Linked DNA regions of Rattus norvegicus. The main gene of each other region encodes a partner of the protein of the gene in region 2 in a complex. Links are inferred from orthologs where the notes say so. Each region holds a gene or a part of one and is shown on either strand. Other genes may lie near its edges.

What was found. The genes of interacting proteins can lie anywhere in the genome.
Region 1: the proteins of Kidins220 (region 2) and Xpr1 are in contact, whole or in part, in a cryo-EM structure (PDB 9JXQ), measured with the Homo sapiens proteins. The link is inferred for Rattus norvegicus from reciprocal best matches to the Homo sapiens genes KIDINS220 and XPR1. Residues at the interface, in NP_065789.1 of Homo sapiens: Glu36, Cys37, Gln39, Asp70, Trp72, Met102, Trp105, Trp110, Tyr113, Lys114, Val138, Ile142, Trp143, Gly146, Arg147, Ser166, Asp167, Lys168, Tyr169, Gly170, Trp176, Arg179, Lys180, Gln198, Glu199, Gly200, Ala201, Ser203, Lys234, Arg267; in NP_004727.2 of Homo sapiens: Leu95, Lys189, Lys190, Gln193, Glu197, Ala200, Asn204, Glu205, Ala636, Asp637, Asp638, Leu641, Leu642, Gln644, Met645, Met646, Asp647, Gln648, Asp649, Asp650, Val652, Arg653, Asn654, Arg655.

Annotation. Positions count from the first base shown.
Region 1 is NC_086031.1:70,130,010-70,140,215, forward strand, and holds the start of Xpr1 (xenotropic and polytropic retrovirus receptor 1), read right to left. Parts: upstream 6,156-10,206; 5' UTR 6,061-6,155; coding exon 5,992-6,060; intron 5,005-5,991; exon of another isoform or gene 4,918-5,004; coding exon of another isoform or gene 4,915-4,917; intron 1-4,914. UniProt on the Homo sapiens protein: Inorganic ion transporter that mediates phosphate ion export across plasma membrane.
Region 2 is NC_086024.1:47,384,719-47,394,824, reverse strand, and holds part of Kidins220 (kinase D-interacting substrate of 220 kDa), read right to left. Parts: intron 9,950-10,106; coding exon 9,660-9,949; intron 8,562-9,659; coding exon 8,421-8,561; intron 7,765-8,420; coding exon 7,521-7,764; intron 7,007-7,520; coding exon 6,918-7,006; intron 5,524-6,917; coding exon 5,379-5,523; intron 2,066-5,378; coding exon 1,903-2,065; intron 1-1,902. UniProt on the Homo sapiens protein: Promotes a prolonged MAP-kinase signaling by neurotrophins through activation of a Rap1-dependent mechanism. Provides a docking site for the CRKL-C3G complex, resulting in Rap1-dependent sustained ERK activation.

The DNA.
Region 1 (10,206 bases), on a different chromosome or scaffold from region 2:
TAATTTATCATAGTATTTCAAAGGTTCAGAACTGTTTATATTTTGAACTAAATTATGATGGATATAAACTGAAAACAGAACTTAGCAAAGCATACTTGAGATGTGTGTTAATTGCGAATGCCAGAGGATATAAACTCTGACTTCAAAGGGTTACCATAATAAAATAACTGAAATATTTGAGACCTTTTTGTCAGCTCTAACAAAGTACTGCTACTTTACTTGTGCTGAGGGCTGTTTCTAGATGTGTCAGCTGTCATCATGCTGTCACTGTGCTTACACTACTGCTATTACTGTTAGAGCATCTCTATATGGGTCCTCTTAAGCTGACCAGTTAAAACTTACACATCATCCACTAACCTAGGCGATAGCTGCTACCTGCTGGCCATGAAGACTGAGCAAATCCCTCACAACACTGACTCCCTCAGAATTTAAAACAAGTGGGTAGCCTCCTTAGCAGAATACTACACCAATCCATTTACTATACATTTAGAAAACTTTATTTCATCCTTCTCATATGCATAAAATTAAACTAACAGTTTTAACACTTTCTTCACTTATTCTGTAGAGTTTGGGGTATACTGGTTTGGGGCCTAAAATTCAAATATACCTGAAACCTCCGGCTAGTATAACTCAGTCTCTCAAATGTTTTTCCAAATGAGGAGTGAAGTCAGGGCTGGTTTTCCATGGTCACCCCAGGTCAAATAAGAGTCTTAGGTTCTTATGATCTGGGCCTTCACCCAAAAGCTGATCCAAAGCCAACCTCAGGAATGGATGGACGAGTGTAATCTTACCAGGATACTTACCCTAACACACTTTACAGAGACAATAAAGAACAATGAGAACTTTGATTCACTCGTTTAAATCCTATTTGTGAATGCCAAGCATCTCACTAAGAATCATTTACAACACTATTTAAAACATACTACACTATTTTTATTTGCAGAAGTCCTGTAAAGGAAGAGTGTGGTTTGTGCTCCATCGGGTGGCTGAACTGGAAATATCAAACAAGTTCCAGCAAGGCATGTGAACCCTAACTAATCAACATAATACCTTTGAGACACTGAAGCCTGCAACACAAGTTTTCCCATGGGAGGGTTCTAGACATGAGAATCACAACAACACAGTGGCAATGCTTCCTGACACTGAAAAATAAGGAAGTGTACTGCATGCACTGCATCTGCCATATCACACAACAGAAAACCAGCTCGTGACCATTACTTGTTTATTTAAGTTAAATAAGGCTTATGCTGGGGGAATAGCCCAACGGTATGGCGACTTGCTTAGCATGCTCAAAGTCCTGGGTTCAATTCCCAGCAAGGGAAACAGTTTCACTGGGTTTTCCAGTCATAGAGGAAAAACACAATTTTAAAAAGTTAGTGTTTTAATGTATTTATTTATTTATTTATTTATTTATTTATTTATAGTTTTGTTTTTGTTTTTTGTTTGTTTGGTTTGGTTTTTGAGACAGGGTCTCATTATGTGACTTTGGAACTCACCATGTAGATCAGGCTGATCTCAACTCACAAAGATTCTCCTGCCTCTGCCTCCCTGGTGCTGGGAGTCACTATGACTGGCGTTTTACTAAAGTTTTTGAAAAGGTGATTTTTAAACATTAATTTCATATTAGAATTTAAAATAGTTTCCTAAATTCTCTCTTCATAAACTTAATTAAACCATAACAAAGCACAGAACTTTAGATGAATGGTAGATCATATGAGGCTTACTCAGAATCCATCAGTGTTCAATCACACAGCTAATGTGACCTGTTTCCCAATACTAAAACATACAGTGCTCAAGAAGCTAGCTGAGTGTGTGGGTGTGTGAGTGTGTGGGTGTGTGAGTGTGTGTGGGTGTGTGGATGTGTGTGGGTGTATGTGGGTGTGTGGGTGTATGTGGGTGTGTGGGTGTGTGTGGGTGTGTGTGTGGGTGTGTGTGGGTGTGTGGATGTATGGGTATGTGGATGTGTGGGTGTGTATGGGTATGTGGGTGTATAGGTGTGTGTGGGTGTGTGTGGGTGTGTGGATGTGTGGGTGTGTATGGGTATGTGGGTGTATGGGTATGTGGGTGTATGGGTGTGTGTGGGTGTGTGGATGTGTGGGTGTATGTGGGTGTATGGGTGTGTGTGGGTGTGTGTGGGTGTGTGGATATGTGGGTGTATATGGGTATGTGGGTGTATGGGTGTGTGTGGGTGTGTGGATGTGTGGGTGTATGTGGGTGTATGGGTGTGTGTGGGTGTGTGTGGATGTGTGGGTGTGTGGGTATGTGTGAGTGTGTGGATGTGTGGATATGTGGGTGTATATGGGTATGTGGGTGTATGGGTGTGTATGGGTATGTGGGTGTATGGGTGTGTGTGGGTGTGTGGGTGTATGGGTGTGTGGGGGTGTGTGGGTGTGTGTGGGTATGTGGATGTGTGGGTGTGAGTGTGTGGATGTGTGTGTGGATGTGGGTGTGTGGGTGTGTGTGGGTGCGTGGATGTGTGGGTGTGGGGGTGTGTGAGGGTGTGGGGCTGTGTGGGGGTATGGGGGTATGTGAGGGTGTGGGGGTGTGTGGGTGTGTGGGGGTGTGGGGGTGTGGATGTGTGGGGGTGCGCTTGCGAGCATGTGCACACATTCAAAAGATGACAAGTAGCTTAACCTTCATATACCATAGCTTCTTTGCCTGAAAAAGCAAAGAGACAGATAATCTTTAAAATTCCCTTTCAATTCCTGAACTCTAGAGAGCTCATTGTTTTAGTACCTTATGCTTTCTACAGTAGTTACTGAAGTCATTCTTAGTCCTAAGAAACCAATGAGCAGGACCCTCGAACGAAAAATCACATCATCAATCAAAGGCTTCAAACATATTTGCCTCCTTTGTTAATATTCTATAAAATATTAACTGATCATACTAGTCTGTTTGGATGAAACTGGCCTGGGTTAATTTTGATTAACCTATTATAGACCTCTGAACTATACAACCATTGATTCCACATTTCTTTAAAGTACTGTTAGAAATACTTGTTGATGTTCTACTTTCCACACTGAGATTTGTACTTGGGTTATTAGAAACAAAGAGAGTGTCTACTCATTTGTGTTTATTCCCAGTAAAACTACAAAGTATCGCCTAGATGTCCTGTACATGGTCTTCCCATGCCTCTCTATTCCTTTGTACTTATTCTGCCTATGAAAGCACACATTTCTAGTGGAAGACTAATAATTTTCAGGATATTATATGCTACTATCATTAATAATTTCAGCAATTCAAGAATAAAAAAGAATTAAAAGTTAAGCCAAACACTTGGGAAGGCCTTAAAAGGTTCTGGCCTCATATGTATTTTTTATAAAGAAGAAGAAAGCAGGAAGAGCAGGAACATTCTCTCCAGAGCCTCACAGCTAACATACACAAGAGCCAGCTTACAGTGCAGCCGTGTGTCCATAATATTATATATAATTAAGTGTTACATAGAATTATAGATGGAAAGCTCCTCCTGATTAAAGTAATATTTACTAAGCTGACAGACAAAGAGGCTGAACAGTTCATGTTGGTTCAGAGTACTAGAAGGCAGCCTAGGCTTCAACGAAGGGTAATACATCAAAATTTCATCAACAATGCTTGAAAAACAAATCCAAGTCTGTTCTGCTGTTTTAGAGAGCATCATTTCCCCTATGTAAAAATACATACTACAAAAAATTAAGTGAAGGTCTTTTTCCCTAGCAAAAGCTGACTTTTAAATATAGATACTTTTTATCCCTGGCAATTTTTTTTTTTTTGAGTCAGGGTCCCTTCCCTAACATTTTAAGGAAGCTAACATTCTAACATTTCCAGACCTCAAAAATTCTAACTTATACCTCTATGCTATTTTTAAAGGAATAGCACCAAATCTTTGGAAATAATACACAACACAAAGACTGCAATCCCATGCAAATGTCTTTAATGGTTCCAACTTACAAAGAAAAGAGCCCCTTATTTTTCACCTCGCCTATGGAACGATGAATTTACTGAGGTAGGAGGTACATAGTAGGGAAATCTCTGTAGAATCAAATTTCAATTATCCACAATAAATGAATTTTTCAAGAGTAATTTATAATTGGTCTGAGAAAGATAATGCAGTCGCTCAGAAGCATAGGAATTCTGTCCCACTGTGACCAATCTAGAGTAACCATTTAGAAATAATAGTAACCAAATAGACTGTAAATTGAGGAGTCCCAGAGTCACTGTTGTTACTCCAGCCACAAAGCTGACATTACAAATCAAGGGTTAATTGCATTTTTTTAAACTAAATTAGGCTTCCCCTTCCAGCCCAAGATAGTCCACATTAATTCTGTAAAATAGTCAAATGTTGAAATACTTAAAAAGAATCTCAGGATATGTCCAACCACGGCTCCTCTGACCAGAAGCAAGCATTCCACACTGTCCGCGCTCCAGCACTAAGCTCTGGGAAGAACTGGCAGCGGTGCTGAAAGTGCTGGTAGGAAGATGAAAACCCAATGCCCTTGTCTCAATGAAACCCACCATCTGGACTCTAGCCAAGGCTTTAAAACTGACTGAATGTTATTACAGACAATAAATCAACAATTCCACAGCCTGAACTGTTAGGACCTTTCCTCACAGAATGTGGCAAGGGAAGATTACAAGGAAACTGACAAGAGAGCATTAGTAATGAGCCGTTCATTTCTGGCATTAAATACAATATATTACAAGTAAACTTATTTTACACTCTTCAAGATTCTGTTTAACCTAACTATCCCTTTCCCCGCTCTTCAATTATTACAATGGCTACATGAATAAATGAACTTGCTGCTGTTGCCTAAACATCCTATCACTAAATTTATATAAAAGTTAAAAAGGAAATCCAAAATATCTTAATTCATAAAACCTAGTTAGTATGTGTGTGCATGTTCCTATTGATTTTATATTCTTTGTTCCTGCTCATACCATAGATGTGAGTTCCTGGAGGTCACAGATCCGCTGTCTTTTCTCTCTCCAGGAGCTGATCTACTAGCTTCTGAGAACAACCTATTGAAGCTTAAAAAAAAAAAAAAAATCCCTTTCATTCAGGTATTCTACCTTTTAAGTATGTAAGTGGTTTTCACTTCTTTACTTTTCCCAATATTGATGCAAGGTCCCTTACAATGTGTATTAAAAACCGTCCAAAAGCTGTGCAAGAAGAAGAAACTGAAAGGAAGAACACGACTTGTGTAATACACAAGTAAGGTACAGTATTTATATGACAGTGATTTTTTTCTCCCTACCAAAAACTTAGCAGAAAAATCTGAAATTTTAAATAATTCTCCTCCCTCCTTCCTCTTCCCTCCAGTCCCAAACCAGAGAAGAGTGAAAATCCCAAAGATGTGGTTATTCTGTATAGTTCGTGCAATCAGTACAAAGACGAGGCACCGTCTCCTTATCAAAACAGAACTATTGGTTCGATGCGTTTGAAAACTATAACCACTGCATTAGATGATACACATTTCACCAAGTTTCAACCCTGTTACAAAGCCTTTGTCAACAGTGGGTAAGTGGAGGTAAGCCGACGGGCTGGGTGGAATGAAGGCAATCGCTGGAGGGGTTTTTCTTGCAAGAGCACGGTTCTCTGGCGAGAGGTGAGCAGCGAAAAGCACCTAACCTTGGCAAAGGGGGTGATCTTCCGCGGTGGGGACCAGAGGTCAGGGTGAGTGCGGAGGGGGTGACGCCGAACCGCCGCGACCCCGGGCCGCCGTCGCACCTGCGGCTTGGCCTCCCACCACTATTCCCCAGCCCCAGCCCCAGCCCGGCTGTGCCCTTCCTCTCGCCGCCGTCTGCATATCCGTTACCCCGGCGGCAGAGGGCTGCGGGGGAGGGGAAGGACGGCCTGGCCGCCGGGGGCCAGCAGCGCCGGGGATGCCGCAGTGGCTTCCCGCGGCGGTGGGTCAAAGTCCGCCCGGGCCGGGGAGCTCAAGGCAGCGGCGGAGGTCGCGCCTAGGGAGATGGCAGCCCCTCCGAGCCCGCCCCAACCCCAGCAGCCGCGGGTACCTCATACTGGATGTACTGCTTCCTCCACTCGGGAGTGATGTGCGCGGAGAGGTGCTCGGCGAACTTCATCCTGCCGTGTCCCCCTCACTCCCACCCGGCTCCAGCAGCTACAGGCGGCGGCGGCGGCAACAGCGACTCCGACTCCTCCCCACATGGGCCCCGGCGCTGCGCGAAGCTGCGCTTCTCTCCTCCTCCGCCGCCGCCGAGGTCTCCTCAGAGCCGCCCTCCCGCCATCTTCCTCCTCCTCTCCATAGCCCCGCCCCGCCCCGCCCTCTAGACGTCATCGCCATGGTAACCGCCTACGCCGCTCCGACGGAGGGGGCAGAGTACGGGGCGTGGCCTCGGGGGCTTTCCCTCATGCTCCGCCCCTTTGGGCCGTACTGTGAAGGCACCTCCCCTGACCTCTTCCGCCTGCCTCCAGTCTGCCTACAGCTGCTTTCCACACTGTGCCTGGGAAACAGCACTATTGTTACTGCAATTAATCTTGGTACTGGAGCAACAATAATCCACACAAGACAGACACAAGTTTGCAGAGAACTGTGCAAACATTGTTTCCATTTTAATATTGATTCTTCATAAAACCCTTTAAGATGAATCAGCAGTAAATCCAAATTGAGCAGTTGAAACAGTTAAGAGTCAATTGTATTTAAGGGAACTGTATTCACACGCTCTAGGTGCTCAATAAATGCTTGTTGAAATCAATTTAAATGTCAGTGCCAGAAAGTTTGTGTTGCTTCTGTATTTCAATGTAGTTGTCTAGGTAGTCCTAGAACTACCAGAAAGGCCAAAACATCTGAATACAAACCAGGACTGAAACTTTGCGATCCAGCTAACTGGGACTGGGGGCAAAGATTGAGAGGGAAAACAATGTTGAGAGGAAAGAGAATTCTCTATGCTTCCTCTCCCTGTGAGACAGTCCTGTATCCAGACTGACCTCTGGAAAGAAAGATATCACTGAGACACCAAAGTACCACATTCAATGTGAGAGTGACTACCCTGAAGGACTTATCTGAGGGAAAAGCCCAGGTCCCATCCCAGGTGATGGAGCTCTGGATAACGCAGTGGCTGACATTTTTTTCCAGTATGTCTATCCTTGTCCCTGTAGCAAGCACTGTTCTAAACCCCCTACATGTACTTTATCCTTTAACTCTTACAACTTTCATGAGACTCAAAGATTTGCTAGGGAAGACCTGTGCCTGGGACAATATAGATCTCTGTTGGCTTCTGAACACACACATACACACGCACGCACACACCACCACCACCACCATATTTTTTTTTCTCCTTTCCTTCCACTAAATTTCAGCCAATTTCAATTTCAGGAGAAAGATAGAGTATGAGGTAGGAAAGAGCACATCTTTCTGGCAAATGTTTGTACAAAAGCTTCAACCTCTGGGTCAAGAGTAATCAGAGGGCTGGAGAGATGGCTCTGAAGGTAAGAGCAGACCTGAATTTGATTCCCAGAACCCTTGTCAAGCAGCTCCCAATCCACCTGTAACTCCAGCTCTGTGGGTATTCGTGGCACCCAAGGACGCTTGCACTCACATAAAAATACCCACACATGGGCCCACACATGTATTCATAATTAAAAATAATAAACGCATATCTCTTTTAAGGAGATAGCAAGGATAAGCAAAGCCAAGGAGAAGAGAAGGAAGAGACAGACTCCTGCAGCCTGGTAATTCTCTGCCATCAAAAAGTGGCCCCTTCTAAAACAGCACAGTGCCAGGAGAAAAACAGGGGCGAAGGGGAGCATTATACACTGGGTACACTGTTACCACAGAGCAGCCCTCCCAAGCCTTAATTGTATATAAGATTCAGGAACTGTGGTCCGATTGAAGGAAAAATGAAATCCTTAGTACTAGCTCTAAAACCAATAATTCCTAGTTCTTCTCCAGCCTGACTCAAAGCCCAGATGCCTAGCCAGACACAAAATCTTTATTTATCCACACATGTGGATAAGGAAAAATAAATGAGACAAGGTCTTATTATGTAGCCCTGGCTGACCTGGAATTCTCTATGTAGACCAGGCTGGCCTCTAGTTCAACAGAAATCCTCCCCTACCTCTGCCTCCTGAGTGTTAGAATTAAAGGTACACACCACCATGTCCAGCAGAAATTTCTTTATTCCTAGCATTATTACAAATACTTCAACAAATACTTGAATGGCATTTGCTGAACACCTACTCTCGGCAGAGAATAAAGCCAAGTGCTTTAAGAATTATCTGAGGGGTTGGGGATTTAGCTCAGTGGTAGAGTGATCCCCAGCTCTGAAAAAAAAAAAGAAAAGAAAAAAAATTATCTGAATAGTTTTGCTCTGAACCAGATGGGCCCTTTGCTTAAGACTTCCCTTGTAAGTATAACCAAACTCTGATGAATGAACATTACAATATTCCAGTCATGCCCTTTGGGAATGAAGGAACAGTTCAAAATGACATAAAACTGTCTTTTCTTTGAAGGAAAGTCTGGTCAAAGCCACGGACAGACTGATGGCCGACGACATGATCTATACTATAAGGAGACAAGTGTCTCTGGCTGAGGAGAGAGTAAAAGATGGCACATCGCAGCGATGCTTCTGAGATCCAGTCTCAAACAACGATCTGACAAGCGGAAGAAGCACACCTCGGAGATCTCAAGGGCAAATAGCAGGATGCCAGAGCTGCTTAAGAGTGTCACAATGTTACCTGACCCAAACAGCCTCCAAAAGGTTGAAACTGTCTGTGAGGTCTCCGCACGTCCTTGGTCGGTCTGATCACTCTCTGCTCACCATAGGACAAACTGCTCATTTTTCTTGTCCTCTAGAATTGAGCACAGTGCCTGGCCCTTGGACATTCAGTAGTCACCGAAAAGGAAAGTAGGGGAGGAAAGAAGAAGGAGAGAAAGGAAGGATGACGAGAAGGGAGAAGGAAGGGAGGAGAGATGGAACAGGAAAGCAAGTCAGGCCACACCACCTGAAGGAAGTCAGAACAAGATTGTAAAATATGACCATGACACCAACATGGAGTCTCTGAAGAATGTTTAGCAAGTACCTAACTTGGGTCTGGGTAAGCAGTGCATATAAATGTTCCCAACACTGGCTCTAGGAGTAGCTCTTAAATAAAACTCCATATGGTCCTGAGCAAGGTATCTTAGCCTTAAAGCCCCAGTTTCCACAGCTCTCCAAAGACAACTAGAATACCTCCCTAACGAATTATTTTGAGGACTAGATGAGATTCTGCATTGACAGCCCTTTTCGGGAAGCTGGGCGTTCTTCCCATCCATAACTGGAAAGTTCCTATGGGTCAGCAAGCACTTTCTCTGCACTGGCACTTGTCCGGACACCTGCAAGTGCAAAGTTAATCCTCATGAGAACCTGGAGGAGGTAGGTGCTATCTTCAACCTCTCTTCGGAGCCAGGTGAAGGCAGGGAAACATCTTACAGGAGATCACCCACCTAGTGAGCAGTAGACCTGCATGAGCGCCCCTGCCGCCCAGCCCCCAGAGTACCTTTGAGCGTCACATTATGCTTCTGTGGATGCAACAGTTCAAGCCAGATGTGGCCTATGAATCTAATGACAGGGGAAGACGGTGCTGCCCTACACGGAGATGAGGAATGTAAGCAGAGAGTAGGTTTGGGAGTACCACTGACTTAGGCATTTGGAAGTCTCCAATTCTAAGGGGTTGAGCCTGAAGACTGGGAAGTGGTTCACACCTAAATGATATTTAAATCGAGAAAGCACAGACCGGAAGGGCAAAGAGGTCAAGGGAGCATCCCTGTGCAACGCTGATGAAGAAAGGTCGAGGAAGAAGGCTGAGATGTGGCCAGAGCAGGCAGCAAGACAGTTAGGAGTGAGTGATGTTGAGACAGCTGTAAAAGGTGGTTTCATAAAGGAGGCACCGATCAATAAACCAAATGTCACAGAGACATTGAACTGTATGACTTCTAAGCTTCTGGGGTTAGCAAGTCCAATGTCATTAATAACCCGAAAGGAATACATGAAGAAAAGGATAACACGAAGGCTTGGTGGAGGCTAAGTAATGCAGAACCCTCGTCCTTCCCATGCTGTGTTTATTCGCTGAACCTGTTGTAGAGTGGCCAGGAGTGAGGATCTAATAGTATACCCAGCAATTTATTTAGAAATTCATAAGTACTGGCTCTGAACCCTTTATATTTATCACACATAATTCTAAGTTTGGGAACAATTATACTTCCCACAAAGTAACTGCTTTAAACCTTA
Region 2 (10,106 bases):
CTCTAATACACATTATTCTATATTGATGTGATCAAAATAAAATATTCCCCTAAAAATTCACTATAATTTGTATTCATTATGATTTAAAAAAATTTCCCCAGCCCCAAATAATTCTTTCACAATATTCTATTTTTTCATAAAAGGGTACACTTGCTATTATCTTTAAGCAACGTGCACGTGTTCCTCTATACCTTCTTGCCTCAAGACATATTTCAATTTAAAAACTGAGAAAAAAATCAGAACTACCTATAAGGTTCAGATGGTGGACTCTATAATGCAAACTTTAATTTTCAAGCAAAGCACAGGCAATTCTTTCTCTGTTTCTTGTCTGCCACAATGAGAGCAGTTCTGCTCTCCCAGGCTCTCCTCACCACACCAGACAGAGACCTCTGAAAGCATGAACTAAATACCACCATCCTCTCCTTAGCTGCAGTCACAGCACTGAAAGTCTACTAATACAGAGAATGAGTACGAGACAAACAGAGTGACTGCTGTGGCCATCCACCTGGTTTGCAGGAAGAGTCTGGAGAGGCTGGGGCTGTAAGCTGGAGAAGCCCCAGGATGCCTTAAGAAGAGCTGGTGGGCTATAACAGGGGAACCCAAGGCACTGGAATGTGGATGGGAACAAGAGCAGTAAGCACTGATTATCAGGCTTCGGGCACAAAACGACCTGTGCTGGGAACAGGAGGGAACTAGAAGGCCACACACATTCTGTACTACATTCTGGCAAAGATCCTGTCTCCATTAAAATATTTTTTAGACTTATTTCATGTGTATGAGTGTTTTACCTGCATGTAGCACATGCGTGCCTAGTGCCCACAGAAGTTGGAAGAGGGTATTGGGAACCAAACCCAGGTCAGCTGCAAGAGTCATCTCTCTGGCCCAGTCCTGTCTGTTTTGTCTGTGCTTTAAGACTTTAGAAGATGCTGAGTTGCTCTTGCTCTTGCCTTCCTGCCCCTGCTCTGTCCTCTCGTCCCTCCCTGCGCCCCCTCCACATGCTCATGGCCGGCCTCTAATTCTCTCCTCTTCTCTCCCTCTCTACCTTTCTCTGTCTCTACTACCCTCCTAACTCCCACCGCCATGCCCTGAATAAACTCTATTCTATTCTATACTTCGGAGGGGGGGGGGGCTGAGTTTAAAGAATGGGCTACATAGGGGTTGGGGATTTAGCTCAGTGGTAGAGCGCTTGCCTAGGAAGCGCAAGGCCCTGGGTTCGGTCCCCAGTTCCGAAAAAAAGAACCAAAAGAAAAAAAAAAGAATGGGCTACGTAACCCGGCAGAGGAAATGCCAAGAGCTACTTTCAGTCGTATTTACAGGAAGAACTGAGAGCAAAACTGGACCAGAAGGATTTGAAAACCTTAGTTTTAAACAAGTAGCACATGTAAGGTTCTGAAGAAAAGGGAATGAGCTACTGAAGGGACAGGGACACGCCAAAACATGTGAGTACTCTGCACACTTCGGTGTCACCTATCTGATGCCAGTTTTACAGACATACAGAATGGAAATGTTACAGGGTCATAGACACTACACACAAATTTTTCAGAAAAGCCTAGGAAGACAAGCAAAGTGTGACAGGGTTGGTGTGAATGCAGGTGGCCCTGGAGGAAACGATGCACACATCGTGAAGGCAGAGCTAAAGACACAAGAGCAGCTGAGGAAGTTATACATCCCAGGTGCATGGGACAGACACCTGAATAAACAGCAATCCAGAGAAAGGCCATGGGGCTACGATGGAAAAGCTATAGGGACAAGAACCCTGAGCCTGTTCGCTCTCGCATCACGACAGCGCATGCTCAGATGCCTGACCTGGATCTACTGGATTCAGAAGGAGAGATTTTGCACGCACTATTTGTGTTTTAGAATTCAAAGCAGAGTTAAGTGCAAAGCAGTCAAATAAAATACCTCTCATAGATGGTCTTTAAGGTCATCTGATCAGGGAGACCTTCAGTCTCTTCCAGATATAGTATAAGCCAAGACGTCCGGTACGGCCACTGCTCGGTGAGGTTGATCCAGCTGGCTAGCCTGTCCCAGTTGAAAGTAATCTGATTGGCTCTTAGTAGCCGCCCTTTAACAAATCCATAAACATCCAAAAATTAGTATGCATACTAAGTGAAATGTTCAGCATAGTCACAAATAATTGAAATATTTGAAAATTTTGACATTTGGTTACAATACAGATTTAAACCAAGTATTTATGTGGTTTGTAAAATCCAGATTTTAAAGATTCAGAGGGCACAGTGGCAGACATCAGTAATCCTGGCACACAGGAGGCTGAAGTAGAAGTCTTGAGGCCAACCTGAACTTCACAGTAAGGCTGTCTCAAAAAATAAACCAACAAACAAAATAAAACACCATGGTAGTTCTCACTGCTGACTGCTAAGGACCTCTCCAGGTCCTTAATGGAACCCAAACATACTGGTCTGTCTTTGTTTTATGGCTTAATTCACTTCCCTTCTTACCTACTGGGATAGATCATATTAATTACAATGAATCTAAAACTTGTTGTCTACATTATTGATAAAAAGAGCCTGTTTGTAGGGTGTTCAGAGGACTGAACTCAGCTCTCCTCCCAGGGCATGCTATTTGAGGACAACTGAAACTGGTGAGCTTTCAGAATCAAGGCTTCCTTCCAGTGTTTCATCGCCTTCACCTTGACAGGATCGCAAACAGGCTTGGCTCTCACATAAAAACACGAGCAGCTCTATTCTCGTATCATCAGGTCAGTCCATACCTGGACTCACGTCCACCTGTCTGACAGGCTCTCCTGGGAATCCTCCTGTCCCACCTTCACTGTACAGACAATGACCCTCACCCAGCTCTTCCCTGCCTCAGACCCTTACTGTGCATTTTCACCACTGACCTTCCTGGAAGGTGGATCTGCTTTGCTTGTGGATAACAGGATGTGACTCCTCCATCCCAGTGAGCTATGTCTGCCAGCTATGGACCCATGAATACAATACTAACTCTGAGGTAAAACCCGGAACAGAACAGATGATACAGCCACAGCCTTCCTGAGAAGCATTCACTCGGCAAAGCAGATGAGAAATCCAACAAACACACACCAACCTGTGAAGTAACTAGATGAGTATTTAGCTGAATGTGTCTTTGGGGCAACAATAAAAATGAAAGTCCGAGCACTGAAACAAGCTTGACAATATACTTCTTGTAGAAGGCTGAGTTTTTGGTTTTTAAAACATAGGGTCTCAAGTAGCCTGGCTGGCTCTGACATACCTATTCTCCTGCCTCCACTCCCAGAGTGCTAGGATTACAGATGTAAACCTCCACATCCAACTCACTAAGTTGCCCAGGTTGGCCGTGAACTTGAGAGCCTCGTGCCTGAGCCTTGGGAGTGGCTAACATGTTGAGTCTGTACCACTGGCCTGGCTACCATTTAGAGGTATCAGGCCAGGTCTCTTTGGCGTACCTGAAGATGTCAGCAATCTAAAGTCCTTCCCGTTTTGGAGCCATAAGGCCTCAAATGAGCTGCAGCTGTCTCACACCACGTCACACCACTCTGCTCCTCCGACTCCACTCAGGCTGGCACTCTAGCTGTTCTCAGAATCCAGCTCACAGCCTTTGCAGATGCTGCTCCTTTTCCTCAGAACGCTTCTCTCAAGAAGCATGTAAAGTGTGGTTCTAACTTCATTCAGGTCTCTTACTCATTCACAATCAATCCCAGATGCTGAAGTGGGTACGACAGTTAAGCAGATCAGACAAAGACCCTGGCATGAGGGTGTCCCCTTCCAGAGAGCAAATAGACAAAGACAGTGTCTGTCGGAAGACAGCTGTTTGGAGGAGGAGGAGGATCAAATGTGGAAGGAGGAGGAAGAGTCAGTCCATTTGAGATGCAGGAAGGTCTCATGGGGAAGCTCACATGTAAGCTAGAAGGGGCAGAACTGAGCAAACTCACTGCTCACACAGGCGGAGAACCATGACAGGCCATGTTAATGAAACCAGTCAAGATACAAACCTGATCCCCAAGAACTGTGATCACGAGCAGCCCAAAGTTAAAGAGCAAGAGGAAACAATATGCTAACTGGCACAGTTAGAGGGACGTCATTTCTACATGCTTGTGGGGTCCAGACAAGGATGGGGCCCTGGCCCTGTGTGCTCCATGTGGGAAGTCTGGGAGGCCTGGGTGGAGAGCAGTATGAGAGAGTGTACTCTACCAAGGAGCTGTGCTGAGAGCAGAAGTGAGGGCCAAGGCAGGGCAGAGCCAGAAGTCCCAGGGAAGGAAGGTAATGAGGGGGAGAGCTGCTGCCTTAATTCCTGTTTAATTTCTACAATGTCCAGACCAATCCTTTGGCATAAGGAGGATGATAGGACCTATTGCCAAGTGAGTATATCAGTGTTAGCAATAATAGCAGGAAATAGTTCCTCTTTCGAACCAGCATGGGAAGGTTGAGGTCTCATTTAAAGAGATTTAACTATAAAAATGCTATCTTAGGTATGATCCCACCAATAATACAGTTTATGTCATGAGCCCTAAACTAGTATAAAATGCAATTCCAGTTGACAGAATCAACACTAGGAAATACCAGAAGGTAGTAGGCAATACCATGCAAGGGAAGAAACCCACTCTATAAGTTAAATGGCAAAGTGTGTCTATGACTGCTTTAATGCTAGTCTTCACATACAGAAGAGCAGCATCCACACAGAATTCAGTCACAGCAATAAGCACCTTTTGGGGAGTGGGCGGGGCAGGCTTGGGGGTGTTCAAGACACGATTTCTCTGTGTAGCTCTGGCTGTCCTACAATTCACTCTGTAGACCAGGCTTGCCTTGAACCTGATCAGAAGGAGATAGGCTTGCCTCTGCCTCCAGAGTGTTGAGATTAAAGATGTGTGCCACCACTGCCTGGCTAACAGTCCCCATTGCATTACAAACATTTTTATTCAAAATATTATATAAAAACTGAAACAACATAGCAGTATATAAAAATCTGAGTTTCAGCACAAATATTAATTGTACTGTTATGTAAACTACATAAATTTAGCCTAAATATAAAGCAAAAGACCTTTAAAATCATGAAATTTTAAAATAAATGTCCAAGTGATATCAGATTGTCAATTACTACTGTCAACTACTACTACAAACAGAGCTTATACTCAAAGCGCTCTGCTAACTTTAAAGCTTGTGGTGGTGGCTGGGGGATAACTCAATAGCAGAACATTCACGGAGCTTGCACAAGCCCTGAGTTCAATACCTACTACCTCAAAAAAATATAAACAGGGGCTGGGGATTTAGCTCAGTGGTAGAGCGCTTACCTAGGAAGCGCAAGGCCCTGGGTTCGGTCCCCAGCTCCAAAAAAAAAAAATAAAATAAAATAAACAAAATAAAAACTATTATCTATCACAGAACATGGAAAATAAAAGTCACCTGTCACAGAAACAATATTGAGTAGCCGTCTCATGGTCTGAGGGCTGATGTCACTGAACCAATCCTCAGTGACTAGCAGCTTTGTGAGATCAAAGGACATCTGCCTCGTGATGGTTCTCTGCATCTGTCTTCTGCGGTAAGTGTCCTGAAACGACAGCACCAATGAGAGAGAAACATCCATCCTTGAGGGTTAACATGGATGCTTGTGGTAGGAACAACAAAACAGACAGCAGAGTACTCAGTGGGTAAGAAAAACACAATTCACAATATTAACCGAAGAGAACAGTTACAGGCTAATCAAGTGTGGGTGCTTCTAAGGCAGACACTTTCCAGAGCAGCTACACAGTAGTTGGCAGGTTCTAGCCCATGTACACTGACAACCGTACAGTGAGGGAAAGCTTAATGTCTCAGATGAGAGGTACACAGAACTCCAGAAAGAGAATCACAGTCAAGCTCCATGAAGCCGTGCTTCAGGAACCATAAAACAATGAAGCAGGTAGGTTCCTTCATGGTTTCAGGGACTCAGCCTCTCTGTCTTAGGCTGTTTCAAAGTGTTACATTGTTTTATCCCAGGCACAGCCAGGGAATGGCATTTCCTCAGAGAGCTGAAGGCACTCTGCAGAGTAGGGGAGTGGATAAGGAATCCTGGGTCCTAAAGCATGGAAAAGGTCGAAACCATTGGTACCCAAGAACTGGGGCTGCCAGGAAAGAAATTCACAATGTGGAATCACACACTCCCCTGACTTTGGCTATATCATTTGTCATTCATATTAACTCTGAATTCATAACCTGTAAAGCATGTGGGCACAAAACCAAAGACATGAGGTTTAAAAAGTAATGTCCAAATGGTAGCAAACAAGAAGAAAGGCAAGGCCAGTGTAAGCCCATGTTGGCCACCCCTGAGCGACACGATCAGCAAGGCTCCCTGCCAGAGAACATCCTCCCACTTTATGAGCCTAGATAAATACATCTGGTTTTGCCCTACAAATATTATGAATGGACAGAGTCTGAAGTAATGACCAGAAACCCAAGGAGACTGGGAAGGGCTAGAACCACAGCTGGGTGTGGAGACTACGATCCAGACCTTGCAAATGCTGGGCAAGGAGGAAGAACCTAGAGAGATAAAGTAAGGATGGCACCTGCTCAGGAATGAGTGTGAGGCCACGATCATTTGCTGGCTATGAGTCCTACTACTGGAGGAGCAGTCACCTCATGACCTGGGAAGAGGCTGCCGAGGAGCAGGCCTCCTCCCAGACCACGGTCCTTACTGCCCCAGGCAGCTCAGAGGCAGTTGATGCTGATAGGAAGCTCAGCACTGATGTTGATCTCAGGAGCTTACCACCATGTTTACTGAAGAACATGAGGTGTCACTCACTTAACTTTATTTGAATGACTGCTAAAAAAATAAAAAATCAGAGTCAGGGTATGGCTAAGTGGCAGAATATTTGCCTAGCATGCACAAGGCTTTGGGTTCAACCCCAAGACTCTGAGGAAAAGTCAATCAGACCATTAGGTTAAGTGGCACGAATGGCACCTTACCCTTCTGTTGAGAGCCGTTTTGCTCCCAAGCTTTGTCATCTCCCCAAGGCTGTTCTGTGAAACTCTTCTGTCAGTGTCCTCCTGTGTTCCTGGAAGAAAGCATGGAGACAGCGCTATGGTGGTTAAGATGAGTCTCCCAGAGTCTCGGGAGTTTCAGCACTTGCCCCCACTTGATGCTGTTGTTGGGGAGGTTTGGGGTGAGGCCTGAGGAGGAAGTGTGTCCCCGGAGAGACGGTTTTGAGAGTTTGAAGATGCATGTCATTTGTGTTTGCTCTCTTGTTTCCTGCTTGCAGTGTGAGATGTGAACTCTCGACTTCCTACTCCAGCCGCCATGCCGTCCACACACTGCCACACTTCCCTGCATGACGGTGCTGGAGTCTTATCCCTTCGGAACCATAGCGAAATAAACCCTTCCTTCTACACGCTGCCTTGGTTATGGTGTTTCATCTCAGCAACGGAAGTCATCAATACAAGCACTGTGTGCAGGGTTGTTTTGTGTGATATTAAAGAGATGTAAAATAGAAACATTTTTCAAGGCAAAGAGAAACTATAAAAAACCTTCCAGATTACTTCAAGCCTGAGTACTGTAGGGCTGACGCTTACCTGTGGTGTCTGAGCATGTAATGTCCCCGTTTGTTGCTGAAGTTACAAGGAATTTCCTTGCATTGCTAAGCCCACGACTATTAAGAAAAACTGGTAAGTGAACTATATTGCGCATGTAGTCATGTCCGTTTATATTTGAGTCACGAAGCACACTATTCAGGTTCTGGTTGATGGCCTTTATGATAATATGCGGATCACTTGCAAAAATGGCAATAAAAGGGCCCTTTGAAAACAGAACTCGGACCTGTGGTAGAAGAAAGGTATGGATGTGACACAAATTTTTAAAATGTACAAAAAAAATTCCTTTTTAAAATCTGTACTATCCTTTGGTGCTTTATCTTTTAATATCATTCATTTCTCATCAAAATGTATTCTCTATAAAAACAACTTTTATAGATGGCTCAATCTTAGGGGTTTCCTTCTCAGACACCTGGAGCCTACACAAAAGCAAGCTCAACATGCGAGGCAACTTTCTGGGAGCACACGTGAGTTCTGTACACTCGGTTAAGCACTGCTGTTATAACAAACCTCAGATTACAGCAGTCTGCTTTAACAACACTACAAAATCTATGGGTTCCTCTGTCATCTCAGAGTACAAACATGACAGCCTGCACAGCTCAGCCACGCTTGTCATTTAGAGATACTCCGTGTGAGTTTTTGCTGTATTTTTTTCCTAAAGCACCATCAGGCTGAAAGGATTTAAACATTCTTGATCAAACATTAACTTTTGCTGTAATTCTGAATTTTAAAATATAGTTCTTATGAAAGAGAGTTTCACTAAAGAAAGCAGTGTTTCTTAAATAAGAAGCACAGTTTCCATCCTAACTGAGATATTTTGTGAAGTCATGCATCCTACGTGGCCACAGTGGCAAGCTGAGACAGTGAGACAGTGAGACATACAGTGTCCAGCATCTGAAGGACTTTATCCTGCTCGCAGGCATCCAGGCCGTCAATGATAACCACCAGCCTTGTCTGGTTTTGAGTGAAGCTGTCAATGGTTTTTGCCATCCTGGCCATCAGCTCCACCTCACACTTCAGGACCTGCACAAAGCACAGAAGACACAAGAAGGTAAGGCACACTCCTTTAGAAGCACAAGAGAAACCCATCTAAAGGGAAGAAAAGAAACCCGAAGTTCTTGCTGCTGGCAGTGGTTCCATTTAAACCTGTTGCAAGGGTTTCAGTTATGGACTGACAATACTTGACTCTTAGAATGTCATCAGGGGATGCTGTGGTAGGACTGACTACAGAGGAGGCTGAGAGACTTACTTGCCAGAACTAGACTCTGAATGACAAAAGCCTTGGACTTGAATTCCACCCAAAACACCTACTAATGGCTACAATACCCTTGGCTCCTTGGTGGCATCTAGTTTTAAACAAAGTTAAATATACTCATGCTATAAAGTTCAGTAATTATAATTCTTGTTATTTATCAAAAGAGCTAAAAAATTTACATCTACACAAAAACCTGAGCACAGATACTTATAGCAATTGTATTCATAACTACTGAATAAATGTACACTCTTCATTCAGGCAACAATATTCATCAGGCCTAAAAAGCAACGGAATTTTAAGCCATGAAAGGGATGAAAGAAGTCAATAGGAAAGGGCTACATACTGCATGGTTGCAACTACATGACATCATGGGAAAGACGCAGCTACTGAGTCGGTGAACTCCTCAGGGTCTGACATGTTTGGGGAGAGACAGAGGCTGAACAGGAAAGCAGGCACTTTCACGGCAGTAAACATACTGTAATCTTGCATATGTTATGCTATCAAACACTTATGCAAACCCAAAGAGTGTACAGCACCAAGGCTGAACCTAATGCAAACTGAGTCTGACTACAATACAGGGGACTGAACAAATGCATCACTCTGGTGACAGCTGTTGATAACAGAGGATACACAAGATACATGGGGTAAATATGGATTTTCCTATAAACCTAACAAACTAACTAAACGAGGTTAAATGCAACAGTCTTGGACATATAGCTGAGTGGTAAGGTACTTGCCTGGTGTACACAAGGTCCCGGGTTCAGTCCCTACCCTTAAATGTAACTCTAACATTTCGAGAGCATGTCCAAGTTGGCATGGTGACAGCAGCATGTTCCCAGTACAGTTTTTCTGATGAGAGCACTTACTTTCATGAATCCTTCACTTTTTAACTTGTGTAATTTGGAGGCAGCACTATGGAGGCGTTTTCTCTGAGAATTCAGGAGAGAGTCCAGCACTTGCCACCATGTTCGACAATTGAGCACGAAGGCCAACCCCACGACAGATGCGATAGAAATGAGGATAGCATTCACTGTCAGATGTTTCGGGTCAACTCTGAATATAGCCAGAAGGGTGATCCCAGCAATAATGCAGCCAACAATAAAAAGAAAGATGACAAAAGAGGGGAGGCAGCATGTTTTTTTCCATTTCTTTTTACCTGTAATAGAATAAACAGTATTAACAAAATCTTTATGGTCGAGAGCACATGACGACTCTGAGGGTCAACTCATGGGCTCATGAAGATAAATGAACATTTATTTCCTTCCTCAGCCCTAGAAACATTCCAAGGAGGAAGGGAGGAAGAGGGGGAGGGG